Rhinolophus ferrumequinum: one gene and its partners. The protein of the gene in region 2 purifies or fractionates together with the protein of the main gene of each other region. This does not show direct contact. Links are inferred from orthologs where the notes say so. Each region holds a gene or a part of one and is shown on either strand. Other genes may lie near its edges. The genes, in order: TTK, CDC27, CDH1 and CDC26.

Region 1 (8,006 bases), on a different chromosome or scaffold from region 2:
AAGTTTCCCTGTAATTTTCATATTGTGATTTATTTTTTACTTTCTTTAGTGTTAAGTGTTTTTAAAAAACAACTTGAATTAACGTCGGTCTCCTATATACTGTATTTTAGTCATTACTAAACATTATCAAATTCTTCCTTCTCAGAGAAACTATCACTCCTTCCATTGGTTTCAGCTACCTTCGGTAAGGACTAAATCCTTACTTTTGTAAATAAAATTACCATTTCTACTTTCTACTAAAACATAGCACATTCATAATTTTGCTTTTCTATTTTACATTTAATCTGGTCTGATCTTAACTTCATTTTCCAGTTTTACCTCCCATTGCTTTCCTAACAAATTAATCTGCAAAGTGTCTAAAAAAGTCTTTACAGATCTATTCCTCATGCCTCTGAGTACTCCTTTCTCCCTCTACTCAACACTTAAAGTATTGTCTTTATTGTGTTAGTATTCCTTTGTTGTCAAATACCTTATAATGTAGCACAGTGGATTCTTAAATGCTTCTCATTTAGAAACCATGATTTTAAGCATCTTTGAATCTTCCTCAATACTTAATCTAATATACTTAGATATAATTAACTCATCTAATACAGTCAATCTAATAATCCTAATTATCAATATATGTTAGGTATTTACAGCTTTGAGTGAGCTAAGGATTTCAAATAAGGATCCATCTACCTTAGTATACAAACTTTTTTAAGCGTTAAATACACATAACAAAGCATGGTGATACTCAAGAATGTGCTTAACCAAAAAATAATTAGTTTGTGGGATGTTTTAAGTGAATATGATCTGCCATTATGACTAGATTACAGGTTCTTCCATTTATTTTCAATTCCTCATCCATTTAATGCTTATACAGATATGACAAACTTATCCAAAGGTCATCTTTCAAATAACCATAACAATCTGAAATATAGTAAATATTTAGGCTTCTGAGCTAGTTTTCATAAAGCCAGGTATTAAAACTTGAGCATTTTCATTCATTCATCATTCAATAAATATTTAAGTGCCTACCATATGCCAGGTACCATTATCAGCTGTGTAGATATAACAAAACAGATAAAAACTATGCTCTCGTGGAGCTCACCTTTTAGCAGAGGACACAGGGAATAAACACATGAGTATATCAGATATAAGGTGATTAGTGCTGTGGAGAAAAACAATACAGGAAAGGAAGAGAGGGGGCACACTCCCACCCCAGCAAGTTGCTATTGCTAAATAGGTGAGTGAGGGAAGCCCTCACTGAGATGACATTTGAACAAAAACCTTAAGGAGGTAAGAATGGGCAGATATCTGGGGGAGCCGTGTTCACAGCAGAGGGCAAGAGAAAAGACATTAGGCTAGGAGGTAGTCTGGCATAAAGAGGAGATAGCAGGGACATCGCTGTGGTTGGAACAGAGGGAGCCAGAACAGGAAAAAATGGCCAAGAGACTAATAGGAACACTCTCCAAATAAAAAACAAAATGTTTGACTTTGAATTTATATATAATTTTAAGATTGTTGAGGATTTCTTAGTTTGCTGCAAGAAAGGAATGGAAAAAAATGGCACAACTATTGATGGCAGGCATATTAGCAGAAATAACAGCTGATAATAATGGAAGAGTTCAGAAAACTACCTCTGAGTACACTGTAATAAATGTTTCCTTTTTCAGAAAGCAGAAAATTGTGGGAATATTTCCATACAAAAGTGTGTACAGTACTCTAATTGGTAAGCATCAATTACTGAGAAAATTATATCACGCAAACACCCAGTGGTTAACATTTCATTCTTTAACCTTAGAGGGCACTCAAAAAAAAAAAAAAAGGAACTCACCTGTGGTATCAGCAGAGATTTTATTCAAGCTTAGCTCATCAGTAAGGTCTTCATTTTTAAATTTATTTTTAAAATCTCTCACTTTGTTGATTATGGAATCAATTGTCAATTCTCTGCCACCCAAATCCTCGGCCTCCATTTCTAAGAAAAAAATAACTGAACTGGTCATAATTCTTATTTTTACTACCATTAAAGAAAAAAAACTTGCAACTAGCCTTTTAGAATCCAGAAGGATAAAGCATTAGTTATATGAACACATCTTAATGCAAATATTATTAAGGTAGTATTTGTGAAGCTATGTGCACAAAAACAACTGCACATATTTGAAAATTGTCCATCAAACTTTCCAATAGGCTAAGTATGTGTTTTCGTCCCAATAGAACTGTGTCATTGTATGATACAGAAATTGCTGTCCCCCTTTAAAGCTTTTCATTTTTCTTCTATACACTGAACACCTCCCTTTCACTCTTTTTCATTTATTTTCTCTGGGTCATCTGCAAATTCTGCCATTTAAAAAAAAATGTGATGGAATGTTTGTTTGGATTTTGTTAGTGACATTTAGACATAAAGAATCCTTTTGGCAATGTGAATAACCATTGCTTTATTCACCTGCTTTATGTGAGTAAACCTGCACAATGCAAAGGTTTTCAAAGCAGAATATATACACCACCACAGCCCTTTATTGATAAGTGGGATCACAGCAGGCTTGTTCTTGCGCATATGTGGCAGAATTAATGATTTGCTAACTTAATCACTCTAATACCAAGACTACTGTATTCATATAATACCAAGCACTTGCTCATCTGCATCGTGGTAATGTTTGGTCAACAAAGAGTCTGCAGTCTTCCTGTCAATCTCATTTTTGTAATTCTCAAACATCAACCCAGTAACCCAGTGTCGCTGGTATCAATGCCGCCACTGACCTTGACTTTAACAATGAAAAGGGGCGATAAACTGGGCATCTAGATATCACCTCTTCAAGTCAGGATCGAAAGGTAACTGTCAGAACACAGCCACCATCTCCTCTCTCTGTTCTAAAACACCAGACAACAGAAGAAGTACCTTTAGGGAGACAATCTCGTGTCCCCAAACTCTCCCCAGGTGCCCCGCCAGACCCTCTTCCCAGCGAGGTCTACACCCACCTCTTGCTTCCTGGATCCTCAACAAAATCTCGGGCTACACCCGGTGGGTTGGCGGAGGCGGCGAGAGCTCCCCTCCCCCTGCAGCTCGTTTAGCCGCGCCCTACGTCGTCTACCCGGCTCTGAGCCGCCCCCGACCCGCCCCCACCACTTACCGTCCCGCGAGCTGCCGCCGTTCCCCGTGCACTTGCGAGGCCGAAATCACCGCCAGAAAGCCGAGTTGAGAAGAAAAAATGGAATCCGAACCCTTCTCCACCAACACGTTTGAATTCCCCCGCCGTTACTGTCGCGGCCTCCTATTGGTCGGTGCTGGCCAAGTGGAAGCGTCTGCTGTGATTGGTTGGTGTGCGTCAGCCCCGCCCCTCCCTCTGCGACCAGCGAGTCCCGCCCCGGAAGGGTCGTCTCCCGATCTGCACCTGCGCAGCGCTTCAGTCCGGGTTCGCTGGCTCTCCGCTGGCACTCCCCCGGCGCCAGGGGCCGGCTTTCCTGCACTTTCCAGTTTAACCAGAGCAAGTCTCTTTCGGGGAGGGAGCCATTCCTGGGTAGAGTCACCCGTTGAGAGGATAACAGGGGCGGAAACGCTGCTCTCAGCATCTGGACCTAAAAGGTGCCCTGTGAGCTAGTCCTTCCCGCCGACCACCACCCCACTCCTGCGTCTTCCAAGCTCCTCACTGCCGAGCGTAGGGAGGATGTGGCAAGAAATGCTGGTTCACAGAGCTACCTTCAGCCCTGCCACCAGCTCAAAAATCTCAGTGCTTTGTCTTGAGATCCCATTTGTGCCCTCATTCTACCCTTAAGTGATTCCATGGTCCTTACCTTCGTCAGAATTCTGCGCAGAACTCCGATGCCCGTCACGATTGACATGTCTGAACTCGGCTTATCAGCGCCCCTCCCTCCGAGCTTGTCCCAAGTAAGGGCTCAGGTGTCCTCTGGGAAAGGTCACTTCTCGAGTAAACTACACGGGTGCGGGGCTCTGATAAGTGGCTTTGTGATCCAGGACAACAAGATGTCTTTTATCAGCATCCTGACATGCTCTATGGTAGGACAGGTTTTCTTTTGTGTATGTGTAGGAAATTAACTGCAGCTGCCACTTATTTAATACAAAGTTGTTCTCAGAGCCCTCGCGTTCCCAGCTTTGGCTAGCAAGAAAGCCCTTTGTCACTTAGTGCACCTGTCCGTACCTGCTGGCTATGTATTTTTGCTTCAGTAGAGCAAAATGATTTGCTACACGGTATCATGATTGGCTAATCACCACCTTTGCACAGTTGCTTCTAACACTGGCTTTAGTCGGAAGGAATTTACCATCTCACCAGTTCTTGTTGATCTCTTAGGGGCCTGATCTCAAAACTCATTTTTCTGAAAATATTGCTGCTGATAACCTCACCCTTACACTCGTTTTTGCACATTCACTCCTTTGGTGATCTCTTTCAGTCATACATATTTAGGTACCATCTATATGTTAATGACTCCCAAATTTATGTCTCCAGCTGAGTTCTTTCTCCTGAACTCCAGACTCATATACCCATTACCTACTTAACATCTCCACTTAAACGTCTCAAATGCATCTTAAACTCAAAATGCCCACAACTTGAGTGCCTGATTTTTCCCCCTTCCTCTCAAACCTGCTTCTTACAAAATCTCTGCAAAGGAAACTTTCATTGTTTTATTTTTAAGCCAAAAACCTTGGTGTCATTCCTGACTCTACATCTAATCATAAATAGTGTCAGATCTAATGAGCTATTCCTGGAATACTGGCACCTCCACTGCTACCACCCTAGTCTCTGGCACCTTCATCACTCACCTGGATTACTGCCATAGCTTCCTGGCTGGTCTCCTTTGCTTCTGACCTTGCCTCACCTCAATTTATTCTCCAGTACAGCAAAGTAATCTTAAATCAGATCGTGTCACTTCTTTGCTCAAAACCTGTCAGAGCTCCTGGTCTCGGGATAAAAGCCCAAAGTCCTTACAATAGTCTAGAGCTGCAATGTTCAATATGGTAGCCATTAGTCATGTATGGCTATTGAACACTTGAAGTATGGCTAGTGCAACCAAGGAACTGAATTTTTAAATTAATTAACCTTAATTAAAGTTAATTTAAAATTAAAACTGAATACTAAGTACAATTATTGGAAAACGTTTAAGTATATTTGGAACAATCCAGGTATGTGAATCTACTTTTTCAAATGTAAATTTTGTAAATGCAGTTAAGTACTTCCTATGAAAATGTCTGAGTTTGATATATACTGTAATTATAAATATATACCACACTGGATTTTGAAGACTTAGTATGAAAAAATGATGTAAAATGATGTTATTGGTAATTTTAAAAATATTGATTACAGTTTGAAATTATATTTGTGATATATTGTGTTAAACAAAATATATTATTAAAATTAATATCTCCTGTCACAGACCAGAGGAGACCAAGGAGACATGACAACTAAATGCAATGTGGTATTGAATCCTGGAACAGAGAGAAGACATTAATGGAAAAACTGATGAAATCCAAATAATAAATAGCTGAGGTTTAGTTAACAGTAATGTACCAGTGTTGGTTTCTTAATTTGAACAAATGAACAACAGTAATGTAAGATCTTAACAGTAGGGAAACTGAGTGAAAGGTATACGCCAACTGTACTATCTTTGAAACTTTTCTGTAAATAAAAAATTACTCCAAAATAAAAAAAATAAATTAAAATTTAATTTTACCTGTTGCTTTTTACTTTTTTAATTTGGGTATTGAAAATTACATATGTGACTCTTCCACTTTATGTCCACAGGACCGCAATGGGCTATGAAATCCTATAGTTTATCTGACCTGTTTATTGTATTTATTTATTTGACTCTCCTCCGCCTACCCTATTAAAATGTAAACTCCATAAGTGCAGGAATTTATGTCTACTATGTTCATTAAAATATCCTTAGTGTTTAGAATGGTGTCTGCTACACTGTAGGCATTCAATCAATGTTAGCCAAATACTAACCTTTATGACTATTAGAGTATTTCAGAATCCTATTTCCAAGAAATATATAAAACATATTTGTATACTTCTTGAGGAGGAAACTTTAACCATTTATACTTCTTGTAAATGCTCAAGAAATCTTTGTACTATGTCTTACACACACTCAGCAACTATTTATTGACAGAGAATATCATGACAAGCTGTTTAGAAACAGTAGGTACAATTTTTGGGTAAGTATTATATTGATTGTATACATGTGAGACATGTAACAATATACCATATTGGGATGAACAGTTTCACTGTAGTATTTAGTTCTCTACTTGTAGGGTGGCCATAGCTCTCCTACTTGACGCAGAATCAATGCCTGTGATTCTTCTGTCCAAATAGATTTTGATCCTTAGCTGCTGCTCAGCAAGGCCATTGCAATAATAGACCAATGAGGAGCCACCAACAAAGAGAATAAGGAAGTGAAGTTGTTCTTCTCAAGATAATATTACAATTACTCATTTGGTTTAAAACCAGCTTCATCTGGCAGTGAATAAACGTGTTTATTTTCAGAGGCAAGCCTTCCATAAAACAATACAATTCACCAAAGGATTTTGATTTTATGTTGAGATGGGAAAGTTTCACTTTTATTTTTGTTACATAAATAAAAGCTTGGACCATGTAACTTTGGCTTGATCATCATGTCACTTTTTTTGCTAATCTGATGATTTTCTGTCAACACAGTTGCCTTTATAATTCAATTATTGAAGTCATTGTTATGAGTTCACTAAGTCCCAAACTTTAGTTTCAGAAACTTTTTCCCATACTTGGATTTACTTTGTGCATGTACAGAGGTTAAATTTCTAATTAATAATCAATGTAGTTCTCACAGCATGTAATAAGTCATGCACTGCTTTCTGGTGATTTATTCAGGGATATGTTATTAGTGTACCTAATTTTGGTGCATATAGGAATGGTGTGAACCTATAAGAATGGTGAGAACCTGAAAGAATAATTTAAGGAAAGCTACATAGCACAGAATGGACCAAGCCTTACCCAAAAGAAAATGAAATGGCAAGGACAGACAACAAAGCACTTCATAGATTATGAAGAAAAACAGCAATAACAGTTTGGATTATGTTCTGAACAAGAAAAGCAGCAGTAATAGTTTGGGACCACTACTTGGACATCAGATATTGTTTAGTTATTCAGGCAACAGATTATATTAACAAATGACAAAAAAAAAAAGTAGAATTCCTATTTTTTTCCTCCGCCATGGAGAATAGTATTCAAACTGGCAATCTTAAAAATGAATTTGTTGAAACTCTTGTCATGTGAAACTATATAGGAAAGCCATTTAAATTTCAAATTATCTGACACGAATTTTTTTTTATTTTAGTCATGTTTTCAATCTCTGCTATCAGAAGGAAACTCACGTAGCTGTGTAATGTACTTGAGAAACTAAACAGAACATTGAAAAAATTGACTTTATAATCCCAGAAACTGTTGGCAGTCTCTGAAAAGTCTTGATAAACAGGAACAGGGACAAAAAATCAGAAATGGAGAAATGTTTCTTTTTAGAAAATGTAGCACTTGGAAGCTGTAGGTCTTTATAATGTGAACTTTTAGCTCAATTCTGGAGAAGCTTATAGAATTGATTGGGAGCAGAGATCTCTAGATACCAGCATGATTCATTAAGAACAACCCATATAGAATATACTAAATTCTCATTTTGATTTTTTTCTAAAATTACGGAAGGCCGGAAATATAGAATATCTTAACTCTGGCAAAGAAAGTGATAAAGACTCTCTTATCGTTTTTCTGAAAAAGAGAGGAGCATGTAAGCTCTGTGCTGTTAATGTGGGATGATTCTGCAACTCTGTAGACCTTAATTCTCAAAGAACATTGCTTAGGAGTTTGAGGAGAACCTGAGGTTGACCCCTAGTGGAAGGCCTCAGAACTCTGTTCTTGGTCTTGTTTTAAACTACATATTTTATCTGTGTGGCAAACATATACAAATAATGATTATTAATTTTGCACATACTAATTAAAGCAAGACCAACATGTTAGAAGAGAATAAAGACAAAGTTAACAACATGGAAT
Region 2 (7,567 bases):
GTCACCTAACACCATTTTCCTGACCACCTTCAATTTGAAGTTATTTGAAATAGGGTACTCTTTGAATCCATGTTAGATTGTTGTCTCTGTACATCTTATCCCAAGCCAAAAGTATACCTTCACTATCTAATGATCTCTAAAACGGTATGAGGTGTATGGTACCCACTTACTATACTGCTTAGTAAGGTGATTTTCACAAGGCTTGTTTACAACTTCATCTAACACTTCTAACTGTGAATCCCTACTCCCAGGAATAATTGATAAATCTATTAAAATGTGTTTGCTTTTTTAGATCAATTTCATCAGGTGAATTTTATAAACATCCAAATTAGCACTGATTGAACTCATTTATGTGAGTTTCTTTCCCAAAGTTATATTACAAATAATTAACAGAATTCTGTCTCATAATAGGAGAGGTTTTTGTAAAGATTTGAGGGGAACCAAAGTTTTGCCAACCCAAAATATGCCTTCTGGCATAATGATTTTAAGCTGGTTATTAAGAAACAAAAGACTCAGAACCTTTGACTCTCCCCCCTTACCTGTCTAAAGGAATTCAGATAGAAAAAGAAGGGGAGCATCACCTTCTTTTAGCCTCAATATAAACTAAATGTGGAAGAAAGTGAGAAGCCTAGCAAAGCCTGTTTGTTGAGCTTCCTTCTGTGACCCATTGTTTCTGGGTAGCCCAGCAAGAATTTGTTTACCACATGTTTGCTCTTTCTTGTCTACCTGTGAATTGCCTACTTTCCTTTGAAATCCCAGACCCCTGCTCCACTTCACCTTTGTCTAAAATGGCACATAAACCTCAATTGTCCAATGTGTCTTCATGTCTCATTTTTATGACACCCCGTCATGCACATCTGTAATAAAATTTGGACATTTTCTCCTGTTAACCTGTCTCATGTTAATCTGATAATTAGCCCAGCTAGAAGAAAACAGAAGGTGGGGCAAAAGTTGGTTTTTTTGCGCCCCCACAGACAAATAACACTTTTACTACGAGAAATAATATGGAGGAGCTTATATTTAGGCTTACATGGTATATCACACTGAGTACCCCACATTAAAATTTTAAAGAAAAAAAAAGCAGAAAACAGTTGCTCACCTTTTCTCTCAACTTTTTCCTATGCCCAGTAATACCTTGAGTTATGCCAAGAAAGGAAACAACTTTCCATCTTACTCTCATTCCTATACATATGCATACAATCACTCGCCAGTTAACAAAAAAAATAGTACCTTATTTATCTGTCCTATTTTTATTTTCCTCCTAATTCTTTCCATTTTCAGCACTATTCCTGATTAAAGTTGATCTTTATCACTGTAGCCAAAGTTGCTTGTTCCTCCCACTGCTCCAGATCCCTTCCTGAATGGTATCTTACTTGTATACTATAAGTCACAACCAAAATTCTCACCTAGCCATATCCGAAAGCTTCTTACCACCATCCCTGAATCTAATGGGCCAAAGGTAGTGTGAAAAAAAACCCCAAAAAAAACAAATTTGACTTTTAAGCCTTAAAAATACCTAAGTGTATTACTGCCAAGAGTAGTTTAAGGGAAAAAAAAAAGGAAACCTGAGGAATACTGTGTAGGAATAGCTTATATATTTCTTTTCTTCTCCACATTTTTATACAAGTTGAAATTATTATTAAATAGTAGTTATAAGCTAGCAATACAACTAGCTTATCATTTTAGAAGCCTTTTGGGGTAAGAGAAGGCAAATGTATCCATTATTAAGGCAAAATTACAAGAATATGAGACAAATTAAACAACTGAGTGATCTACTTATCCATTTAAGGTACAGATAGCAACTTCTAATTTCATGTTAGGCCTCAAAAAAAAAAACAATCTTAAAAGGGACTCTTTACTAGTAAGAGGAATCTGGATGTTAAGAAATAGCTTTGGAAGCACTAGTACAACTTACAAACAGGTGAATTTCCTAAACTAGAATCCTATATTATATTAATTCAACCAATAATAGCTGCTATATGTAAAGGGCTAGAGAAGAAGCCAACTAGAAGAAATTGGTATTTCATCTGGTGAAGAAGAATTAAGGTAATACGAAGGGGTAATGTATTAAAATATTTACTATTTGCTATCACAGGCCTATTAAGGGTAATATGAATTAACTTCTAAACTCGATTTGCTTTATAACTTCAAAATAAAGAAAGTCCATGACTCAATGACAGTAGTTGATAGAGGTCAACTTTTTAAATCAAGTCAAAGATCAAATGGTGGATCGAAAGTCTCCCAGACCAGACCTGGTCCATCACCAAGGGACAAAAGATTCAGTTCCTTCAGATGGCAGGGGGGAAATGACTTGGCACTGCATCGCACACTTCAAATCCAATCGGGCTTCTTCCATGCCAACAGAGCAGCGTGCGTCAAAGCATACCTTGGTGTGGTAAGGGCAGTGAGACAGACGGAAAAACCATTCTTGGTCTTTCATTTCCTGGACGCCTTATAAACGTGAACTGAAACATTCTTGATCCCCATCAGAGGCCAAGGAAAAAACCCCCGATTTGCCGTTTCCACCCTCTCCCCTTGTATAGGTGCTTGCACCTCAGCACTAGGCCTTGGGAGTTCTCAGATTATTGTTCAGTGGGAAATTCACGGAACGAGAAAAGCAACGTGGGCTACTCAGTCTGTTACCAAAATAGAAATTAGTATAAAAAATACCGATCCCTCCAACCTCTCACAGAAAGACAAAAACCAAACCGAACCACCACCACCCCCCTCACCAACTTGCCCCACCATTATGAAGACCGCGCAAGCTCTGATCAAATGTGCTTCCCAATCATCCTTTAGGTAACAGAGCACCTGGGGCGAGTTTCCCCCGCCACCCTCCGCCCACCCTCATCTCTCACCCCAGCCAGGACCAGGCCCCTAGACTGACAGGAGGGCTAGCCGGACGTCGGCTCGGAAAGGAAGGTATTATCGCCGAATGCCGCTCACACTAGGGGCAGAAGTAACGTAGGCCCAGAGATAACACGGCTTAGGTTGTGGGCAAGGCCTCCGAACTGACGAGAAGACAGGCAGGACCGGGCATAAGGAGAGGCGGGAGAAGCAGCCGGGCCTAGGCCGCACCAGGCCGCGGAGTAGCCATACGCGGCTTCCCGACTGGGGCCGCGAGCCAAGCCTCAGAGAAGGGGGTTATCATTACCTGGACGGGTTCCTGCAGCACCGTCATCCTTGAGGCTCAAACCCACTTTCTGCAGTGCCTCAGGCCCCCCCCCGTAGCGGCTCCGGCCCGGCCAGCCCCGGCTCATTTAAACTCACCAGCGACCGTTACCGGGGGATGGGGGCGGCCGAGCGATTGCCGAGCACCTCCGAGCGGGACACGGAAATACCCGAAGTGAAGAGATCCGCGCGGGAGCCAGACGGAAAAGCCCGAAGGAGGCCGGAAAAACCCGAGGCGAACCGGCGGAGGAGGAGACCGTTGCCGGAAATTGTCGAGAATTGTCGGAGACTACCGAGTCTGACCCAGAGCATAGGTTCCTCTTCTCGGCCCCGCCTCTACTCACGCACGCCACGCCCAATCGTCCACCCTCGGTTGGGCCACGCCCAATCAGCACCCAGCGGGCTGGGCGTGTCGTGCTGGAGCTGGAGGGGATCGTTACGTGGCCCGGCTGCCGTCTTGATTCGCCGCTCAGCTTTCTGGATTAATTCGTGTGCGGTCGATTAAGCAAAGGGTAAAACTCGGGAGTTTGAGGCTGAGTTTAATTAATCATGAAGTATTTGCCTATTGAATGCAGGTCATTTATCCATTCCAGAAGTATCTCTTCATAGCTTAGAGGGAAATAGGAAATTTCCATCCTTCAAAGTTTTAGTATGGCCCCTGTCCTCAAAGAGATTACAGTCTATTTAAGGGAAAAGTGCTGCTACCTTGTGTGGGGCCCATTAGAAATGATGTAAAAATTCAGAGAAGAGGGAAATTAATTGGGATTAAGATGAGGAACTTTTCACAGAAGGAAAACGGGATAAATTGGGATTTGAAGAACGGTTAGAATGAGAAGGGGAAAAAAAGGAAAGTGAAGGAAAGCAGAAATGAGATCAGTCTGTTAAGAGTGAAGGCATTAACTGGAAATATTACGTGACCAGATCATGGACAATCTCAAAAGACAGGCAGAAATTTTTATTCTTGATTGCAGAGGCATTCTGGTGTATTGGAAAGAGTGTGGGATTGGAAAGGCAGAGGCTTGCTTTTGAATTTAATCTCTGGCGCTACTACGTATTTTTAGGACCTTAGGCAAGTTATAAACTCTCTGAACTTCATGTTCTTAGTCTGAAAAAAATAAGATGAATATATTAATGTATGTGGCTGTCTAATGCAGTAGGCTCTCTCAAGTTACTTTTATGCCCCTTCCCCCAAAAAATACGTGAACCAGAGAACTAGTAAAACTTTGTTTTTCAGGAGATGAGAAATATCATTTTTGAAGGTTAATTTCCCCCCTTCTTCCACCTCCCCGCCCCCACTCAGGTTCAAGCCCTTGTTTCTCAGTCTAGTTGGGTAGGACACAGCTCCCTGGCCCAGGCTGGTGTTATGAGCCTGGTGCTTCCCCCGGCTAAGGCAGTCGGTTGCCAGTCGTCAGTCGGCAGCTCACAGCAGCTCTTGCCGGCCGCCGGCCACTCACAATGGCTATAGGCCACTTACGCTGGCCACGGGCCGCGCCTGGCAGCACACGGTAGCCCACGGCCGCACAGCAGCCTGCGGGAGCCTGCCCGCTGCAGCCCCGGCAGCCCACACCAACCTCCAGCTGCTCACGGCTACCCAGCTCCAGGGAGAGCCTTTGTTCACAATCTTAGCTGTAGAGGGCACAGCTCACTGGCCCCCGTGGGAATCGAACTGGCGACCTCAGCGTTAGCATGGCACTCCAACCATCTGAGCCACCAGAAGGTTAATTTTCTAGTTAGAACATTTCTAGGTTACATGTGGTACTCATAGTATATTCCACTGTATGGAAATTTCCCTTTCTGGTTCTTATTTTATACAGATGAAATCAGATTAGAATGGGTCACTCTCTTCCTTTGTGTGACTGTTTTTTTTAAACACTAGTCGACAAAGCAACTGGCATGTCCACCAGCCATCTGTAATCACTGCTTATGTACTTGTAGCCCCATAAAGGGTAGGTGCTAAGGTGATTTTCTGTGATCTGTTCTTTTAACAGGGTTATGCTGGGTGAATTTGAATGGCAATAGTCTTCTACACTGTCCAGTACGGTAGCTACTCGCTATTTTAAAGTTTAGTTAAATTCAAGTGAAATTAAAAATGAAGTTCTTTAGATGCCCTGGCCACATTCCAAGGACTTAATAGACACGTGGCTGACCTCCATACTGGATAGCACAGGTAAAGAATATTACCATCATTGGTCTGACTGGGGCTGAAAGATGCAAGGACTCACATGTTTGAGGACTTGGTCTTAGCTGCTGACTGAGCTCCTCAGTTCTCCACAGCTCTCTTTCAACCTTGGCTTCTCATCAGTCAGTAGTTTAGCTCTAGCTTCTTGACTTGGTGGTTGGCAACCAAGAGGATGAAAGCAGAAGCTGTTGGGCCCCTTAAGACCTAGGCCGGTAAGACCTGGGCCCCTTAAGACCTAGGTCCAAACCCCGTCACTTCTTGTTGGTGAAAGACACAGGGCCAGCCTGCATTCAACTAGAGGAGAAATAGACTCCACTTCTTCATGGGAGAATTTATGGCAAAGTGAAATTCCAAAAGGCATGTGCGATGAGAGCATTTGATAATTAGTCCATCTTTGTACATCTACCAGGTACAAGATGAGAAAATCTGGTAGTGGAAATGGAAAGGGTAAGACATTATTCTTAAAATCTGATGCATTTAACTGACACAACTCTCCAGATTTATTCTAATTCAGAATGCAGTAAAACTACTTCTTTATTATCTGGACACTTCTATTAAAATAGACTCAAGTGGTATTTGCATTTCTTAGCAGTCACATGACACTTCACTCATGCTAAGCTTGTGTTCATTTTACAAACACAGCTCTTTTTCCATAGAATGTGCTGCCAACCCAAGTCTTACACTTGTGCAATGAATTCTTATAAACTTAAATGAAGGAACTTAAAATACAGGATCCATAAAGATGATATTGCTATGTGTGTGAATATGTGTATCTAGAGTTAGCATTTAAACAGTCTGTGATGTTTGGCACTCTGGCTCTTAAGCTTAGAATTTGCCTAAAGGTTTTTGCCCCCCCCCCAAAAAAAAGGGCATCTTTTTTTTGACTATTGTTCAGTGGGCTAACACATCTGTTGTAGTTTTCTATGTGCGCAGCAAGACCACATTGTTTGAAGTTGTTCTTTGATGCGATCTTTTAGAGGATTTTTACTTCTTTCTCTGTTCCTGATTGACCTACTTAAACTCACCATCCAGCAAGCACTTGGGCATCCTGCTGTCATCCATTATCCATATATGTTTCACTGGTGAGTGGAGTTGGTTACAATAAGCATTATCCCAAACATGGTAAATTATCTCTCCTCCTTAGCCTGCCTCTTGGTCTGTTTTGTGTTCCATCAGATTTTGAGGCCAGCATTTAGGAAACTATTCAAGAAGCTAGACATGGTATCTTTGGCAAGATGCAGGTACCACTGAAATATAGCCCAGAGTAAGCTTACCTCTGAATTCTGAATTCTGAATTCCTTCAGTCTTCCTTATCTGTCCCCTTCTTTTGTCCCTGTTGCATGCTGCCTTTTATCCTCCTTATATAACATGACCTTGAGGCTCTTTCCGCCCCCCACGTTGGCTCCTCTTGGTGAAATTATCCCTTTCCTTTGTCATCTCTGATCACACAGTCTCCTCATTTTCCTTCTACTGCTCTGTTCTTTATCCGTTTCCTTGGCAGCCGCTCTAACATTAGAATGCTTCTGTTCTAGGCCATCTCACCTTACACATTCTTCCTAGGCAAACCCATCCATTCTCATAATTTTCATCTAAAATTACTCCAAAATCTGTATCTCCAGCCAGACTGCTTCTTAGAACTCCAGACCCAAATGCCTAGTTGTCAACTGGGTGTCTCTATCCGAATATCTCACAGGTACATTGTCCTCAGGGAAACTCCTCATGCCACATAGAACTTGAAATATTTCCTATCCCTGTTTAAGGCATCACCCTCTTCTCCACTGTCCAAACCTGGACCACTCTCTTTCTTTAACCCTAGCATATACTATATTTCTCCAAAAATAAGACCTAACCGGACAATCAGCTCTAATGCGTCTTTTGGAGCAAAAGTTAATATAAGACCTGGTATTATATTATATTATATTATATTACATTACATTACATTACATTATATTATATTATATTATACTATATAAGACCCGGTCTTATATTATGGTAAAATAAGATCGGGTCTTATATTAATTTTTGTTCCAAAAGATGCATTAGAGCTGATTGTCTGGCTAGGTCTTATTGTCAGGGAAACACGGTAGTCACAAAGAGCTATTAACTTTACCTCCTAAATAGACCTTCATGTCTCTTCCTGCTTCCAGTTTTACCTACCTCCAAAAATAAGTCTGATCGTGTCAGAACTCCCCTCCCTAAACCTTACGCCATAACTCA
Region 3 (7,191 bases), on a different chromosome or scaffold from region 2:
ATGGAGGGATCAGTTGACACCAACTGAAACTTAGTTATTCTAATAGAGTCAACCAGACAATTCCTTGCTTCCTGATATGATGCTTTGGAAAGTAATGAGCTATCAAGTCACGAAAAGACGTGGCGGAAACTTAAATGCATACTACTAAGTGAAAAGTCTACATACCTTATGATTCCAACGCTATGGCATTCTGGAAAAGGCAAAAGTATGGCCACAGTAAAAAGATCAGAGGTTTACGTGAGTCGGGGGGGCGGGAGGGATGAACAGGCAGGTGGAGCAGAGAGGATTTTTAGGGTAGTGAAGAGACTCTGTTGGCACTGTAATGGTGGATACATGTCATACGTTTGTCCAAATCTATAGAATGTACAACATCAAGAATGAATCGTAATGTAAACTATGCACTTTGGGTGATTATGATGTGTCAATATAGGTTCATCAATTCTAACAAATGTACCTCTCTGAAGGGGGGAGGCTATGTATGTGTGGGGCAAGGGGTACATAGGAAATCTCTGTACCTTCCTCTCCAATTTTCTGTGAACCTAGCACAGCTCTTCAAAAAATAGGATTAATTTTTTAAAAATGCAGGGGTGAAACGATGAAACAAGATTTGGTACAATTACAAAGTTTACAAATTATAAAAATATGTAAATTACAAAAAAATAACTGTTGGAGCTAGATGATAGATACATGGTGTTTCATTACACTACACATGATATACACTTGACTGTTTTCTTTACTTAGTGTTTGAAATAAAACAGTTTTTTTGCAGACGGGAGCGGCTGAGCCATAAAGGGCGGCACCCCTATCAGTTGCCATCATTTTGTCAGAGGGCAGAAGCAGAATATCCAGTTCCCTCCCCTGCCTGTTGGCAGGCAGCCCAGCCCAGCAGAGGTGTGAGGAGCCCCCAGGAACAGGTAGAATGGATTCTCCTCTCCCAACACTGCAGTGAGCCTGATCTGGCTACAACCCCTAACAACTCCAATTTCCCTAGGATTCCTCCCAGCAGGGCTGGGGGGTTGGGTTCCTCTCAGCAGAGCCTGGGGCAGGGGTGCCCCACCCAGTCAGGGTACTATTATTACCGCCTTTTGCCAGGAGATGAAAGGGACCAGGGAATTAATCATTTAATCCCTGGCTGACCAGTTGCCGGGACATCCAGGAAGTGAACGTCCATCAGAGACACAGCCTGCAATAAAGAAACCTGGAGTTTGTCATCCCAAGGGTGGATGCCCGGTTAGCACCAGTGGTGGGCTCTGTCATCTACCTGGAGGGGCAACTGGCAAGGACTCTGGTGAACATTTCTTTCTCCTGTTGATGCCTGAAATTCTACCATTAACATTAGACGGGCCCTCAAAGAGATCTCAACTCGAAGGTTTTGATTTTTCTTAACTCCAGTTGAGACGCTAATGAAGGCATTGGACCTCAGCACCTGCACTGACAAGATTGCATATAATCTCAGGGGTTCCACGACCCCCCCACCCCCACCCTCAGTCCATCCACCGACACCAGGTTAAGAACCCTGGGCGAAGTTTACTAGCTCCAGAGTTTTCATTCTTTGAAAGAAGCACACCTCAGAACCCTCTTTAAAATGCAGATGACCCTGGGAGGGTTGAAATGACTAACCAGTCAGTGTGAAAGTTTTCTCAGCAGAGGCCAGAGGTAGCCTAAGAGACTTTGATGGTGGGGGGTGGGGAATGGAGAGCCTGGGGGTGGGGAGGCTTCAGGAGGGCTCACAATTTTGCTGAGAACTGGTAAAGGAAAGGAATGTACTGAGCCAAGAGTGCTAACAGCTAACTTTAGGGCACTTATAAGAACCTTGTGAATTAAATGCTATCAACATCCCCGTTTTATGGATGAGGAAACAGACTTGAAGAGGTCAAGGGACATGCTCCCCAGCTAGTGGCAGAACAGGAATTTGAATCCTCCATCAGCCTGAGACCCAACGCCATCAGCCGCAGAGCTCAACATCAGCAGCACAGGCTCATCTTCGCCTGCTCATTTGATCCTCAGAATTGGCATTTCCTTTTTTTGATGGAAGAGGAAACTGAGGCCCACAGTCACACAATGCCGCACCTCCACAGGGCACCTCTGTGTGTCCCCTCCTCACCTGGACAGCTGAAAGAGGGCAGCCCTTCACGGCCAAATCCCTGGAGCTTAGAGAAGGACTTGCCGAGAAGTCTGAAGAGAACGTCTCTCCCAACCTGTCCTCACTGCCCCTAATTGTTTTCTAAAATCCTTTTTATTGAATTATCAGAGTGTAATGGAAGAGTCGATGAGAGTCGCTGCGGAGTTACAAGGCTAGGGCTTGCTGGACGGAGGAAAGCAAAGCCCTAAAGGCTCCCTGGGATGAGCGATGGTATAAAATATGTATTTTTACATAACTGGGAGAAAAAAAATAAACGGACAAGGCTGCCCCATGGGGGAAACGCCTCTTTCTGTATTTCCATTATCTTGTTTAATGCACAGTCCAGCAGGAGCCTCAGTGGGAAAGGAAATACTGGAGCCTTTTCCCTTTGAGCCTCCTGGTGGGTTAAGAGGCAGAGAAAGACAAGATGCAGAAATCTAAATGGTCTGGGCGTGTGCTCAGAAACCCATTAAAACTGAAGGGACAGGTTAGGGGGGAGGGGCAGAGCTGACCCGAAATAGTGTCTTGGTTTGAGACACCGCCTCTCCTCTGGGGTTGAGAAAGTAGCTTCAGTGGACTCAGATTTACCTTTAGCTCTGGATGGAATATTCTAAACATGACCTTTCCCCATGAGGAAGGGGAAAGGAGGTAGTCGTTTCCAAAGAACGACCTCCACATTAAACATCTATTGAGCAGTTAGTTGCTACTAGATGCCAAGTACTCCGTTTAGTGACTTTCTTGCATCAGCTCCTCTCAACACATTTGTACTGATGATAACATGGACTTGCCCAAGGTCACAGCTAGTGAGCAGCTGACTCCACACACTGTTTTGCAGTTCCGACCATGCTTGCGGAGTGAAGGGAAAGATGGTATCCTTGTCAGGGTAGGCAAAACACATAGATGCGGCTGGCCCCTGGCAGTCAGACAGGGATGATGTCCGACCTAACATTTGCATACCTTTTTTTTTTTGTTTTGGATCCTAAAATTATTTTACTGGGGATAGAATTCTCTAGAAAAGGAAGTGGTGGCTATGGTGTGGTAAGAGCCCCAGTCTGGGGATCAGGAGATCTTGGGTTCTAGTCTTGGCTTTGACGTTGACTTGCTATGGGACATTGATAGTTATTTGCAAATAATACGTTTGAATGATCTCTAAAGGGTCTCTGGCAGGTCACCATTTACAGGACAGATTGAAAACTACAGCTGCAGCTTGAAGACTATCCAGGGCCACATGAGGTGAAGCTAATAGAAGAAATGGCCCTGGAATCAGGAGGTTGGGTTCCTGCCCTCCAGCATTTCCTACTGGCCTCAAATTCTTTATGCCTCAGTTGTCTGTCTATCAAATGGGTTTAATAACAAAGCTCTTGGGTTGTTTGGAGGCGAGATTAAATGAGATGGCCAATGTCAAATGCTTAGCACAGAGCGTGGTACAGTAACTTGCAATGCCCAGCATCTATTGTTACTATCATCATTCACATCTGTACAGAGCTTTTATGGTGAGGAAATATTGGTCTTTTAATTGTATGTCAACGTCACAACAATTTAGGGAGGCATTTGTGATTAATCTCATTTGGAAGATGGAGAAACAGGCTTAGAAAGGTGGGTGCTGCCCAATGAACTGATTTGCAGACTCACAAACCGGTGGAGAGCTGCAGTTAAAAAGAACTAGATAAAGGATAAAGCCCAGGTGCTAGTGTGCACCCACCGCGAGGCCGGGACGCGAACCTGGTGGTAATCGAAATCCTGGAGCCCCTGCACGCAACCCTGATTCTAACAACCGCTGCGCCTGCGGGTTGCCGGGTCGCGAGGCAGCGGGGCGGGATCGGGGGCGGGCCGTTCATTCCCTGCCTGCAGAGGAAGCTGGGACCGAGCCGCATCGTTCATTGGCTGCAGCCGGCAGGTGCATCCTCAGCCAATCAGCGGGGCCGGGGGCGGGGCCTTCGAGGCTCACCTGGCGGCTGAGGCGCTGCCCCCCTCACTGGCGTCCAGAGCCGCAAAGCACCTGTGTGTTCGCGGAACTTCTGCCAGACCAGCCCCGTCCAGCTCCGCCGGACCCGACCCGACCCGCGCTCGGCCCGCCATGGGCCCTCCGTGTCGCTGCCTGTCCGCGCTCCTGCTGCTGCTACTGCTGCAGGTACGTCGTGTCCCTCTGGCTTTGCGGGGGACGCCTTCCGGCCCCACCTTCCGCGACCCGGCCCCTAAGTTCCTTCCTCTCTTGTCCTCCCTTCCTCTCTCCTGTCGTCCGCGCTCCCTTTTCTTCCAAGAAAGTTTGGGTCCAAAGAGCCTGAGCGGCCTGGAAGCTGCGTGGCGCTCTGGACTCAGCGGAGATGGGAGTGGGAGCGGGAGCGGGTGAGGAACTAGCGCGGTTTGCTCAGTGCCCCGAGGGGACCTGAGGTGGGGGCGCGCCTCGCTGCAGGCTCTAGGGACTCCGGGTTGGCCGCGGTATGGGCAGTCGGTGGCGCAGGGTGGCGGTCGGGATGGGGAAAAGGGGAGCACGGGTGCAAGTCCAGGGAGAGCCAGAAGTAGTGGGGACGATCCCTGAAGTAAGGAAAGGGGAATAGAAATAAAGGTAACTACCAGGTAAAGAAAAGGTAGTAAATAGGTATGGGGGCGCCCTCGGGATAAGAAAGTGGGGTCAAAAGGTGTTGGAGCGCCTTCGGTATGAGGAACTAGATTTAGGAGTGGGAACGTTCCCGGTGTAAGGAAAGGGGAATTGGGAAGAATAAAGATAGCTCCAGTGAAACGGAAAAGGAGACGGGAAGGAAATGGGGTGCTAGGTCGAAAGGAGGTGACCCAGCAGGCTCCTCTCCCCGGCGTTCCTGGGGGCTTGGCTGCCGCAGGTCTCAGATTGAGTTTGGCGTGGCTGCCTGCCGACGGGGTGGAGGGGAGTGGAGGTGGGTCCCTCCCACAATCTCGACGCCGGGAGCTAGGGAGGAGCGGTGTTGTCGGTTTCGGTGTGGGCTGGGAGGGACCCCCCAGGTCACCCCGGTTCCATACCTTTCCCCTACCCCAGGTCTCATCATGGTTCTGCCAGGAGCCAGAGCCCTGCCGTCCTGGCTTTGGCGCTGAAAGTTACACGTTCACGGTGCCCCGGCGGCACTTGGAGAGAGGCCGACTCTTGGGCAGAGGTGAGGGCGCGCCGCCGGGGTCCCGGAGCCGGGTGGTGGGAGGGAGTGGGAAGGATCCGAGAAATTGTGCTCCCATTCCCCTGGGCTGGATTGGGCAAGCCCCTTCTTCCGTGGTTCAAATGACACCTTTAGAATTTACACACATGTAGGAATCTAAACTTTATCATGATTGAGCACTGTGGTTGAAGGGGCTATCCTGGTGCGGTTAATTATGTTGGGGGGGGGAGGATGCTTATTAGAGCCTTCAGTGTGTTTCCTAGTGTCCTGACCACGTTAGAGGTTGTCGTTTCAGACTGCACAAACCTAATATGTGGGAAGGGCAGGAGGGAAGTGGTAATTCTTATTTAACAGATGAGCAAAGGAAGGCTCAGAGGGTGGAGTCCACTTGCTCAGGGTCAGTTTCGTGGGAATTTGCACTAGCATCTCTCCCAGGCCCCATTCTGCAACAACTCTGGGATGACTGAGGAGCCCTCTCAGTTATCAGGCTCTGGCTTTTGCTCATAGAGATGACAACATTTTGATACAGGTACTATTTCCCAAAGGAATAATAGTTTTTAAAAAAAACCTGGTAGCTCTGACTCAGGGAATGAAAACGTAACACAAATGTACTTCTGGGCCTTATCGCTGTGATAATCAGAATTCTAGAGTTTGCTTTGTTTTACTTCACTGTGGCCCAGGAGTGAGGGCAAGGGCAGGTTGGTTTCTTTTCTGGTTTCACTGATTCCCAGGTGCTTATTTCCTACCAAACCACTTTCTCCTCCCTTTTGATTTTAGTTGATTGAGCGAGTTATCATAACAATAAAGGAAACACTTGCGAAACAAACAAATAAAAAAATCACCCACTATTTCCCTGAGGGAATTCACTGTGTATTCTTCCAGTCTTTGGCCACGTGAAAAATCTGTTCCAATCACACTATTGTCTGAAAAATGTTTTCCAACTCTGGAAGTTCTAACAGTGGGCGGCTTTTTTTTTTTTTTTTTTAAAAACAGAAACTGAACCTTGATTGATTAAACGTTTGCTTTTCTGAGGCCTGTGTTGTGTGGAGCTTTCTGTTGGGTCAGAAAGGAAGTGTTGTCTGCCTGATTTTGCAGTGGGTCCACCGTTCTTTGGCCTCTCTCTTGATGTTCTGCCCGGCCCTGTGCTGGGCACTTGGGAATGAACTGACATACAGGGACATTCCAGTCCTGCCCTCGGTATTGCATGTTCTGGCAGGTTGCTGAGAATGTTCTAGGACTCACTTCAAGGGCATAGTGGGACATGGGCAGTTAGGTATTTGGGATGTTTTGAATGGGTATCAGTGGGCTGTGAAGATTGGCTTCTGGGAGGATAAAAAGTTGACCCACCTTTGAAGAGCAGGTCAGGGGTTAGAAATGGGAGTGTCCCCACACAAGTGCTGGTCACTCTTGTTTTCCTGCGCCAAGGCATTTGGTAGCACCAAGGGAGAGTTAGTCCGGTTTTTATCCCCCACACCCAAGCTTTTACATCTGACCAATAATCGTATTACCTATTAATAATATAATTATTACCATTATTCGCTTTTGAACTGGACGCTGGGGCAAGTGCGTCACATATTTTACCTTATTTAATCTTCCCAAGAACCTTATAAGGGTGGGCACCATTGTTATTTCTATTTTGCAGATGAGGAAACTGAAGCATAAAGCAATTTAGTAAGTTGCTCAGGGAACCACAGCTGGTCTTTCTCCTGCTTTCTCCCCTCCTCAGTAATCTCAAAAAAAAAAAAAAAAAAAAAAGAGGCTGCCTGGGGAATTGGTGTCCATTGTGAAATAGATGTCTTCCTCCCTGTATGTCTGGAAGAGCAGAGGTGTCGACAGGGCAGGACCCCAAGGAGGAGGTGGTGGTGATGGAGATGGGTCAGGCCAGGTGGGAGGTGGGGGGGGGCCTGCAACTGGTGGTCTTGGTTGGAGACGCGGTCTCCAGAAACT
Region 4 (7,627 bases), on a different chromosome or scaffold from region 2:
AATTTTTTTTGAAAAAAGGTAGAATCAAAAGGTTTACAGACATTTTGTATATAAAAGTTGAGAGAAAGGGAGAACTCAAGAATGATTCCTAGGTGTTTCTGGCTTGAGTGACTGAATAGATACTGAAATGGGGAACACTCAGGTGAAATTGGCTTGAGGAAGAAATCAAGAGATTTTGTTTTAACATGTTAAATGTCGGAGGCTGAATGATGACCCCCGAAGCTATCAGATCCTAATCCTAGAAATCTGTAAATGTTGTCTAATATGGGAAAAGGGTCTTTGCAGATGTGATTAAGGATCTTGAGATCCTGAATTATCTGAGTGGACCCTAAATGCCCTCAGATGTGTCCTGATAAGAGGGCAGAGAGAGATTTCACAGACACAAGAGAAGAAGGCAGTGTGATCATGGAGGCAGAGGTTTGAGATCCGGGGGCCAACAGAAGCTGGAAGAGTCAAGGAACAGATTCTCCTCTAGAGCCTCTGGAGGGGGCGTGGTCCTGCTGACACCTTGATTTTGGTCCAGTGATACTGATTTCAGATTTCTGGCCTACAGAACTGAAAGAATAAGTTTCTGTTGTCTTAAACCACCAAGTTTGTGGTAATTTGTTACAGCAGCCACAGGAAACTAATACATTAAATTGGAAATGCCTGTAAAGAATCTAAATAGAGATTTCAAGTAATCTGTTGGTATAAGAATCTGGAGTTCAAAAGAGTTATTGTTTTAAATATTCCTAAGTATTTGAAAGTTGTACTCCTACCTCTAGGTCCTTTCGAATGTTTTCAAACTCCTCAATATCATCAAGCTTCAGCTCCAGGCGGGTTGGTTTTCGTCGCAGCATGCTGAAATCAACACTAAGAGCCAGACCCAGTGAACTATTAGCTGTTAAAAATGGCAGAGAGGAGGAAAACCTGAAGGGGATAAATCTCAGCTACAAATATCAGATCAATTTGTAAGCACGCATGCTAAAATGAATGGCAAATAAAAGACTCATTTAGATTCACACATAGACTTCTAAGTCTTTACGTGTCTGAATATTATATTTTTATTACATGATGGAGATCCAAAACTCTGTAATTCCAAAAAACTGTTTCTTCAAGAATTTTAAGTATTTAAATAGCAAGCTGCCTATAAAAGAATTCTAGGCAACAATCACTTTAATCTCATGCTCCAGTCACATTCAAAGACATATTCTAGCTAAGAGAATAACACTAAAATATCACATCTTAATGTAGTACTATTAGTGGGAGAGCATACAAACCATTAAATTTGATCAACTCTACACGAGAATTGTAAGAGATTTGTGATCACTCCTGAATGCTAAAATCAGTTTACTAAATCTAGGGAAAACTCCCTCTAACTCACCAATTCACAGGGTTATCTTCAGGGTCAAAATAGGTCCTACATGTATGGGGCATTCATTAAACAAACACTTCTTGTGCTCCAGCTGCAGAGTTAAAACGCACAGTCACAGTCTGTGGGGAAAACAAACACGTAAACAGAAACCTGCATACAGTGTACTAAGAACTCTGGTGCAGGAAATGCAATGGCATCACACAGGCCCAATTCATTCTGGGCTGAGTGTGGGGGCAGACATGGAGGATTTCCTGGAGGAGATGATGTCTTGGTCGGCTTGGGAAGGGCAGGTAGGGAAAGGGGATTAAGGGCATACCAGGCAGAGAGAACAAAGATAAAAAGGGGCTCAAGAGTCCACACCAGTCTGAAAACGCAAGGTCATGCTTACGCTAACAAAAAACGTTTTTTGGAGGAAAAAAATATAACTCCCGCACTGAGTTTAAAATCTGTTGATGACATCTTTATATTCTCCACCAAATCCAGTAGAGTGTATCTATAATAACTAGGCAGTAAACGTTTTGTTGAATAAACCAGAGATCCAAATAAAGTGAAGTGAACTTTCCTTGAGCACTGTGGTATGCTTTTCCATTCCCATTCTTTACACTTTTATTTTAACACAGAAACCCTGTGAGGCTGGCAAAATTACCCGTTTTACAGGTGAAGCCAAAGCTGCTCGGTTTGGTTAATAAATGAAAATGATGTAAGTGAAAGCTCCTTTATTTATAGATATCAATTATTATTACATGTATCTAGGATGTAGCTAGGGGCTGAAATATAAAAAGAAAATGTTTCCCTCTCCCTCCCATGAAGCTTGGGATACCTACAGGTGGTATTATCAACCCAAAACACTAGCACATTACATTTCAAATCGCTTTATACTAAATCAGATACTATTTTGATTCCAATGTAGATAAATGATACTGGAAGCCAAAGTTCAGGGGAGGCGGAGATGTTTAAAAGAAAAACACTACTTTGCACTGTCTTATCTTTTCAGCAAACTGAAAAGCTTGTCACAAGGTAGCGATATAGGGTAAAGGTACTTGCTCTGGAGGCAAAGGGCAGAGGTTCTAATAATAATCTGTTTATTTTAAACAATTAGCTTCATCTTTCACAAGATCTTAGTTTCCGTATCTGTTATTGAAGTAAGTTCCTGGAATGTAATTTGGCATTCAGTAAATGCTCAATAAATAACAGCCATTATTATTATTTTAACTGTTCTTGTGGAGAGGCAGGAAACACCTCTGTCCAGCTCTGGGAATCACCAGTATTTTGAGCATCTCCACCCCCCGACATGAGGGCAAAAACCTCGTCTCGTTCGTTTCTGATGCTCCAGCACCCAGCGGACCACAGGGCCGTGGCAAAGTTGTTTGCGTGCATAACGGCTCACATCCATCATCTTACTCTAAATCTGATACGAAGACCAGGCTGAAGACAACAAAATCAGGCCGTGGCTCCTCCGCCCGGTCCTTATTTAACTTTGGCGCTAGAGGGCTCTTCGAGCTTAATCTCTAGCTGCTGCCCAAATTCACCCAGCTCAGAGGGGGCCCCCGGGAGAGAACCTCCCTACAGCGGAGAAGGAAAACAGCTCTCCCGCCGCAGCTCCAAGGTAGCGCTCACAGGTCTACCGCAAAGGTTTCCATAGCAACATAGTCCCAGCTCCAGGACGACGTAAAGCCTCTCGTAGGGCCGGGAGGGAGGGACAGCAGGCCCCGGAAGCCCTCCATTCGCTCCCGAGTTCAGCCCGGAGCCGCGCGACTCGATGCACCTACCTCTTTACAAGCCTGTTCAGCCCCTTCGCGGAACCTCAGTGCCCACCACGAATCTATGCCAACTGGACTACACTTCCCAGACTGCTCTGAGCCTCTCTCCCCGCAAGACCTCGACCTTCGCGTGCGTTTCTCGGAGGCTATACGAGTCACACCTCTCGACACGGCCACAGTCTTTCCTACTACGATTCCCAACATGCTCCACGCCTCCCCGGACGTTGAGTCCACTCGGCCCACTTCCGGTGGGTGACACAGTTCCGCTTTGCTGGGCGCGCGTTGGATTGTCTGAAACGTCGATTGCAGCTTTCGCTGGGACTTCGCGGCTCCGGAGCCCAGCATGTCTTCCTCACGAGCTACCTCCACGGTACAGATCTGAGCTCACCCTAGCGGGGAGCGCGGCGCGGGTGGGGGTCCCTGCGGAATGGGATGGATAAGGCGATGAGGGGCCGAGGAGGAAGGCTGCGAGACTCGGTCTTAGAGAGCCGAGCAGCGTTTTCCTGATGGAGCGCTTTCATGTGCTTAAGCTCAATTGCACGTCTCGTACTGACGCGAATGGTACACACCTCTTCCTACTGGTCCAGAAACGGAGCTCAAGGAAGTAGTGTCCTGGCCAAGATTTATGTCTGTGTCAGACCTCTTAACTGAAGTGAGGCCTCCAAACTACCTACCGGTGTCTAGTGCATCTCGTCTGAAAACGTTTGAAATGTAGAGGCCAGTAACTTGGTAACCTGCTCCCCTTCACACCGCGTTGGTTTTTTCAGTTATCCTTGATAGTTCCCTTGTGATGAGCAGTAACCCTGGAAGTTTCATAAAACCCAACAAGAAATTGCACTTCCAACCGATTGAATTGAATTAAATTCCAAAGCAAACCTTTGACAGAAAAATCACCAAGAGAAATTCAGGAATTTTATCAACCTCTTTCTGTCTGAGACACCGAACACCCCTACACCAATCCCCATCAGTGAAGACACATCTTAACTGGTGCCCTCCTTGTCCTTTCCTTTGGGGAGGAAATAGAATTAAAGTCAAGATGAGCTTCATCCTTTGGGGAAACCTAGCAAATTGCCAAGATTGAGCCTTAGGTTAATCCAGGTTTATGATTTAGCAGGCAGCCAAAACTAAGGCACCTGATGACCTAGTCGCGCCTCTGGTGAAAAAACCGCACATCTATTATGGAAGTTTGGAAGAGAAGGAGAGGGAACGTCTGGCCAAAGGAGAGTCTGGGATTTTGGGAAAAGAAGGACTTAAAGCAGGAATTGAAGCAGGAAATATCAACATAACCTCTGGTAAGATGCAAATTGTGAATCCATCTTTATCTTTGGTGCTCAGATTTTCTGCAATGAATATCTTCCTGGACAAATATCACTATTAATAACGTGTCAAAATTTTCAGTTTTTAAACTTACATCTGTATATGGCCATACTTTGCCTACTCTGCTTAGCATCGTCCAGAGAGCCTTTTGCTTAACACCTTTTAAAGAGTTTTTCCTTCCATGAATTGTTAGTGATTTTGCCAAGAGTTTATTCAGTGTGTATAGCTGACCCTTGAACAACACAGGTTTGAACTGTGCCAGGTCCACTTATATGCAGTGTTTTTTTTTTTCAATAAATACTGTAAATGTATTTTCTCTTGTGATTTTCTTAATAACATTTTCCTTCTCTAGACTATTACGAGAATACAGTACAAGTACATATAACATACAAAATATGTGTTAATCGACTGTTTATGTTATCGGTAAGGCTTCCAGTCAACAGTAGGCTATTAGTAGTTAAGATTTGTGGGAAGTCAAAAGTTCTATGCGGATTTTCAACTGCACGAGGGGTTCCCCCCACTATCCAACCCCACCTGGCTACGTTCAGTAGTCAACTATATTTGGACTCAAATTGATTCCATTTATCTTCTGGAGATCTAGCACAGCTCTGGCACTGGTTTGGAACTACTGTGGTTCATAATATTCTGTTTTTAGTTTCCCAATTATTTTTCTCCCAAAATGAAACATATTTTTTAAATTAAAAAAATATTAGTTATTTTTATTTTGAAAACTAATCAGTGTAGAAATGTGTGAAGTAGTAAAACCTTTCATCCTTATTACTTGGGTCTGTATCTTTCCAAGAATTTAATAAAGCTATAAAAATACATAATTGTTTTCCATAAAGGAAGCCATGATAGACAGATTGTTTTGTAACCTACATTTTTCATTCTGTACTATTAATGATATCTTTCCAAGTCAGTAACTATCATCCACTATATTTTTAAAATAAAATTATACATGTTTGTAATAAGAAATTCGAACAGTACAGAAGGGTATAAAATGAAAAGACTTCTCCGCAGAAAGGGCTTCTGTCAAATTTCTCATTGATCCTTCGACACTTTTTTTTTTCTATACACAAGCACTTTAATGGCTTTTTTTAACCTTTTATGCTTTTTTAAGCATAACTGCATCACCACTATACTTACCATTTTTCATACAAATGCTTGTATTTCGTGTGAGTTTTTTAACTGGCTGCTAGAGAATCCAAAAAGTCTTCTAGTCAATCAAGGAATATCATTTACATGGTAATTATTTGCAGCTTACTAGATTCATTTCTAAGTGTCCCCATAAGGGAACTGTTTTAGAGAATAGCTTTGTCAATTGTTAAAATTATGTTTCTGTTTCATCTTTTGCATAGAAAGCCTAGTTAACTCATTTGCTAATGATGCCCCATACTCCTTATTTTCTTATCTCATCTAAGCTGTGTGTTTGTTTATATAGGTATATATAGGTTTAAGATTGCCAGATGAAACAAGATGGCTTGAACCATTTTGCTGCCTTTTAAAGCTGTGTCATTTAGTTTTTTGTGTGTGGCGTAAGTTAATAAACTGAGAAACTAAGTGTATAATAGATTAGACAGTTAACTTTCACTAAGGGCATACGCAGACTCCAATTGTAAGAAATTATTTCTTTTTTTTAATTTTTTTATTTGAAGAAGATCTGGTGATTATGCTGATGTTGCCTGTTCTCTTTATAGGAGAAGTGTTTGAAATTGAAGAGCACATCAGTGAGCGACAGGCGGAAGTGTTAGCTGAGTTTGAGAGAAGGAAGCGAGCCCGGCAAATCAATGTTTCCACGGACGACTCAGAGGTCAAGGCTTGCCTTAGAGCCTTGGGAGAGCCCATCACACTTTTTGGAGAGGGTCCTGCTGAAAGAAGAGAAAGGTACCCTTTCTAAACATCTACTCTCTTCTTTTTTTTGATCACAGGGTTCTAGTTCCAAATTTATGTTGTTATTTGTAGCAAAAACTTTTAATAGAATGTCTCAGCTATTGTTAACAGAATATCTTTTAAGTTGTGTTTATATCAATCTGAGTCTTAGGCCAATTTTTACTCCACTACTAATTTTCCTTTATAAACTGCAAAGAGGGTGTTAACATGTTTCCTCTCCCCTTCCCAAAGTGTAATTTTGTAGTTGAACTTTGAAGATTTAGACAACAAATGCATTCCTTGTCAATGACATAAAACATAATGACAAGTGGTTTTTGGATATTACTGAAAAGGGGCATTGTCCTCAGATAATGCTCCGCTTGTGCTTTTAACGTTGCAAAGCTCTTGGTGACAGGCTAGTCATATGCAGTGATGAGGCCCTCTTCCTGTCTTTCTAGCCACTGTCCTACTCTCCCCATTATCATTTTTGTTTTCTTGGTTTGCATAGTCTGCGTGTTTAATCGCTTCAAAACCTTTAGCATTCTCTCATGTCCATTAAATAGAACCAACAATGCTTGGCCTGTTTAAATTACAGGGAATAAAAGTACCACTTCTCTTGTACTCCATACTTCAGCCACACTGAACTATTTGTGATTCCAAGCTCAACACACTTTTCTTACCTCCAGACCTTTACATCGTATTTTGAACCCTCTGCCTTAACAGTCCTCTCCCATTCTTGGCCTGTTGCCCCGACCAGATGATTACTCAGGTTAGGTAACACCTCTATGAAGCCTTCCCTGAACCTCCCTCCAAACCTAGGCTAGGTACTCCTTTTATGTTCCCCCTTAGTACCCTATACTTAACCACTGTCATAATACTTAGTATAATGTATTATGGTTCTCTGTTACTTTCTGTCCCCATTCCCCACCCCCCAACCCTGCTCTCTAGAACTCTGCTACTTGAAATCAAAAACTGTTTTCTTAGTCATTGTTGTATGTTAAGCACCTGAGTCAGTATCCAGCACATGTGGCATTGAGTGAAGGTTGGCTGTCTCCACAGACCGAGGGATAGCAATGTTTTGGCTAGTTAGCGCTACATTGAATAGGGTAATTGTGTATAGTTCAATTTAAGGAATCTTCAAATAAAAAAAGATTGAGTGAAAGAAATCACACTGGAAGTGTAGGCATGACATCTTGACTCTTAAAGAAGGTTGCTTGCAGTTTGAATGGTGAGAGTAGGGGAAGCTTGTCTCCCTTCTTAGATGTACTTTTCAAAATCTCAACTCTGTTTAAATTTCGATCTTTTTTGTTACAGGTTAAGAAATATC

Evidence for each region.
Region 1: the proteins of CDC27 (region 2) and TTK purify together in Homo sapiens (affinity purification with western blotting; 3 studies listed by BioGRID). This does not show direct contact. The link is inferred for Rhinolophus ferrumequinum from reciprocal best matches to the Homo sapiens genes CDC27 and TTK.
Region 3: the proteins of CDC27 (region 2) and CDH1 purify together in Homo sapiens (affinity purification with western blotting; 4 studies listed by BioGRID and IntAct, with this or other methods). This does not show direct contact. The link is inferred for Rhinolophus ferrumequinum from reciprocal best matches to the Homo sapiens genes CDC27 and CDH1.
Region 4: the proteins of CDC27 (region 2) and CDC26 purify together in Homo sapiens (affinity purification with mass spectrometry; 12 studies listed by BioGRID and IntAct, with this or other methods). This does not show direct contact. The link is inferred for Rhinolophus ferrumequinum from reciprocal best matches to the Homo sapiens genes CDC27 and CDC26.

What each region holds. Positions count from the first base shown.
Region 1 is NC_046286.1:39,445,511-39,453,516, reverse strand, and holds the start of TTK (dual specificity protein kinase TTK), read right to left. Parts: upstream 3,189-8,006; 5' UTR 3,111-3,188; intron 2,851-3,110; exon of another isoform or gene 2,740-2,850; intron 1,958-2,739; 5' UTR 1,956-1,957; coding exon 1,817-1,955; intron 1-1,816. Other genes in the region: uncharacterized protein LOC117015595, read left to right, coding at 3,189-3,562, 3,781-3,994, 5,368-5,442.
Region 2 is NC_046304.1:41,230,967-41,238,533, forward strand, and holds the start of CDC27 (cell division cycle protein 27 homolog), read right to left. Parts: upstream 3,321-7,567; 5' UTR 3,182-3,320; coding exon 3,155-3,181; intron 1-3,154. UniProt on the Homo sapiens protein: Component of the anaphase promoting complex/cyclosome (APC/C), a cell cycle-regulated E3 ubiquitin ligase that controls progression through mitosis and the G1 phase of the cell cycle.
Region 3 is NC_046298.1:18,074,273-18,081,463, forward strand, and holds the start of CDH1 (cadherin-1), read left to right. Parts: upstream 1-4,077; 5' UTR 4,078-4,199; coding exon 4,200-4,253; intron 4,254-5,132; coding exon 5,133-5,247; intron 5,248-7,191.
Region 4 is NC_046295.1:65,171,486-65,179,112, forward strand, and holds the start of CDC26 (anaphase-promoting complex subunit CDC26), read right to left. Parts: upstream 3,305-7,627; 5' UTR 3,124-3,304; intron 1,474-3,123; exon of another isoform or gene 1,446-1,473; 5' UTR 1,417-1,445; coding exon 1,364-1,416; intron 910-1,363; coding exon 759-909; intron 1-758. Other genes in the region: PRPF4 (U4/U6 small nuclear ribonucleoprotein Prp4), read left to right, coding at 3,458-3,484, 4,226-4,406, 6,129-6,315, 7,615-7,627. UniProt on the Homo sapiens protein: Component of the anaphase promoting complex/cyclosome (APC/C), a cell cycle-regulated E3 ubiquitin ligase that controls progression through mitosis and the G1 phase of the cell cycle.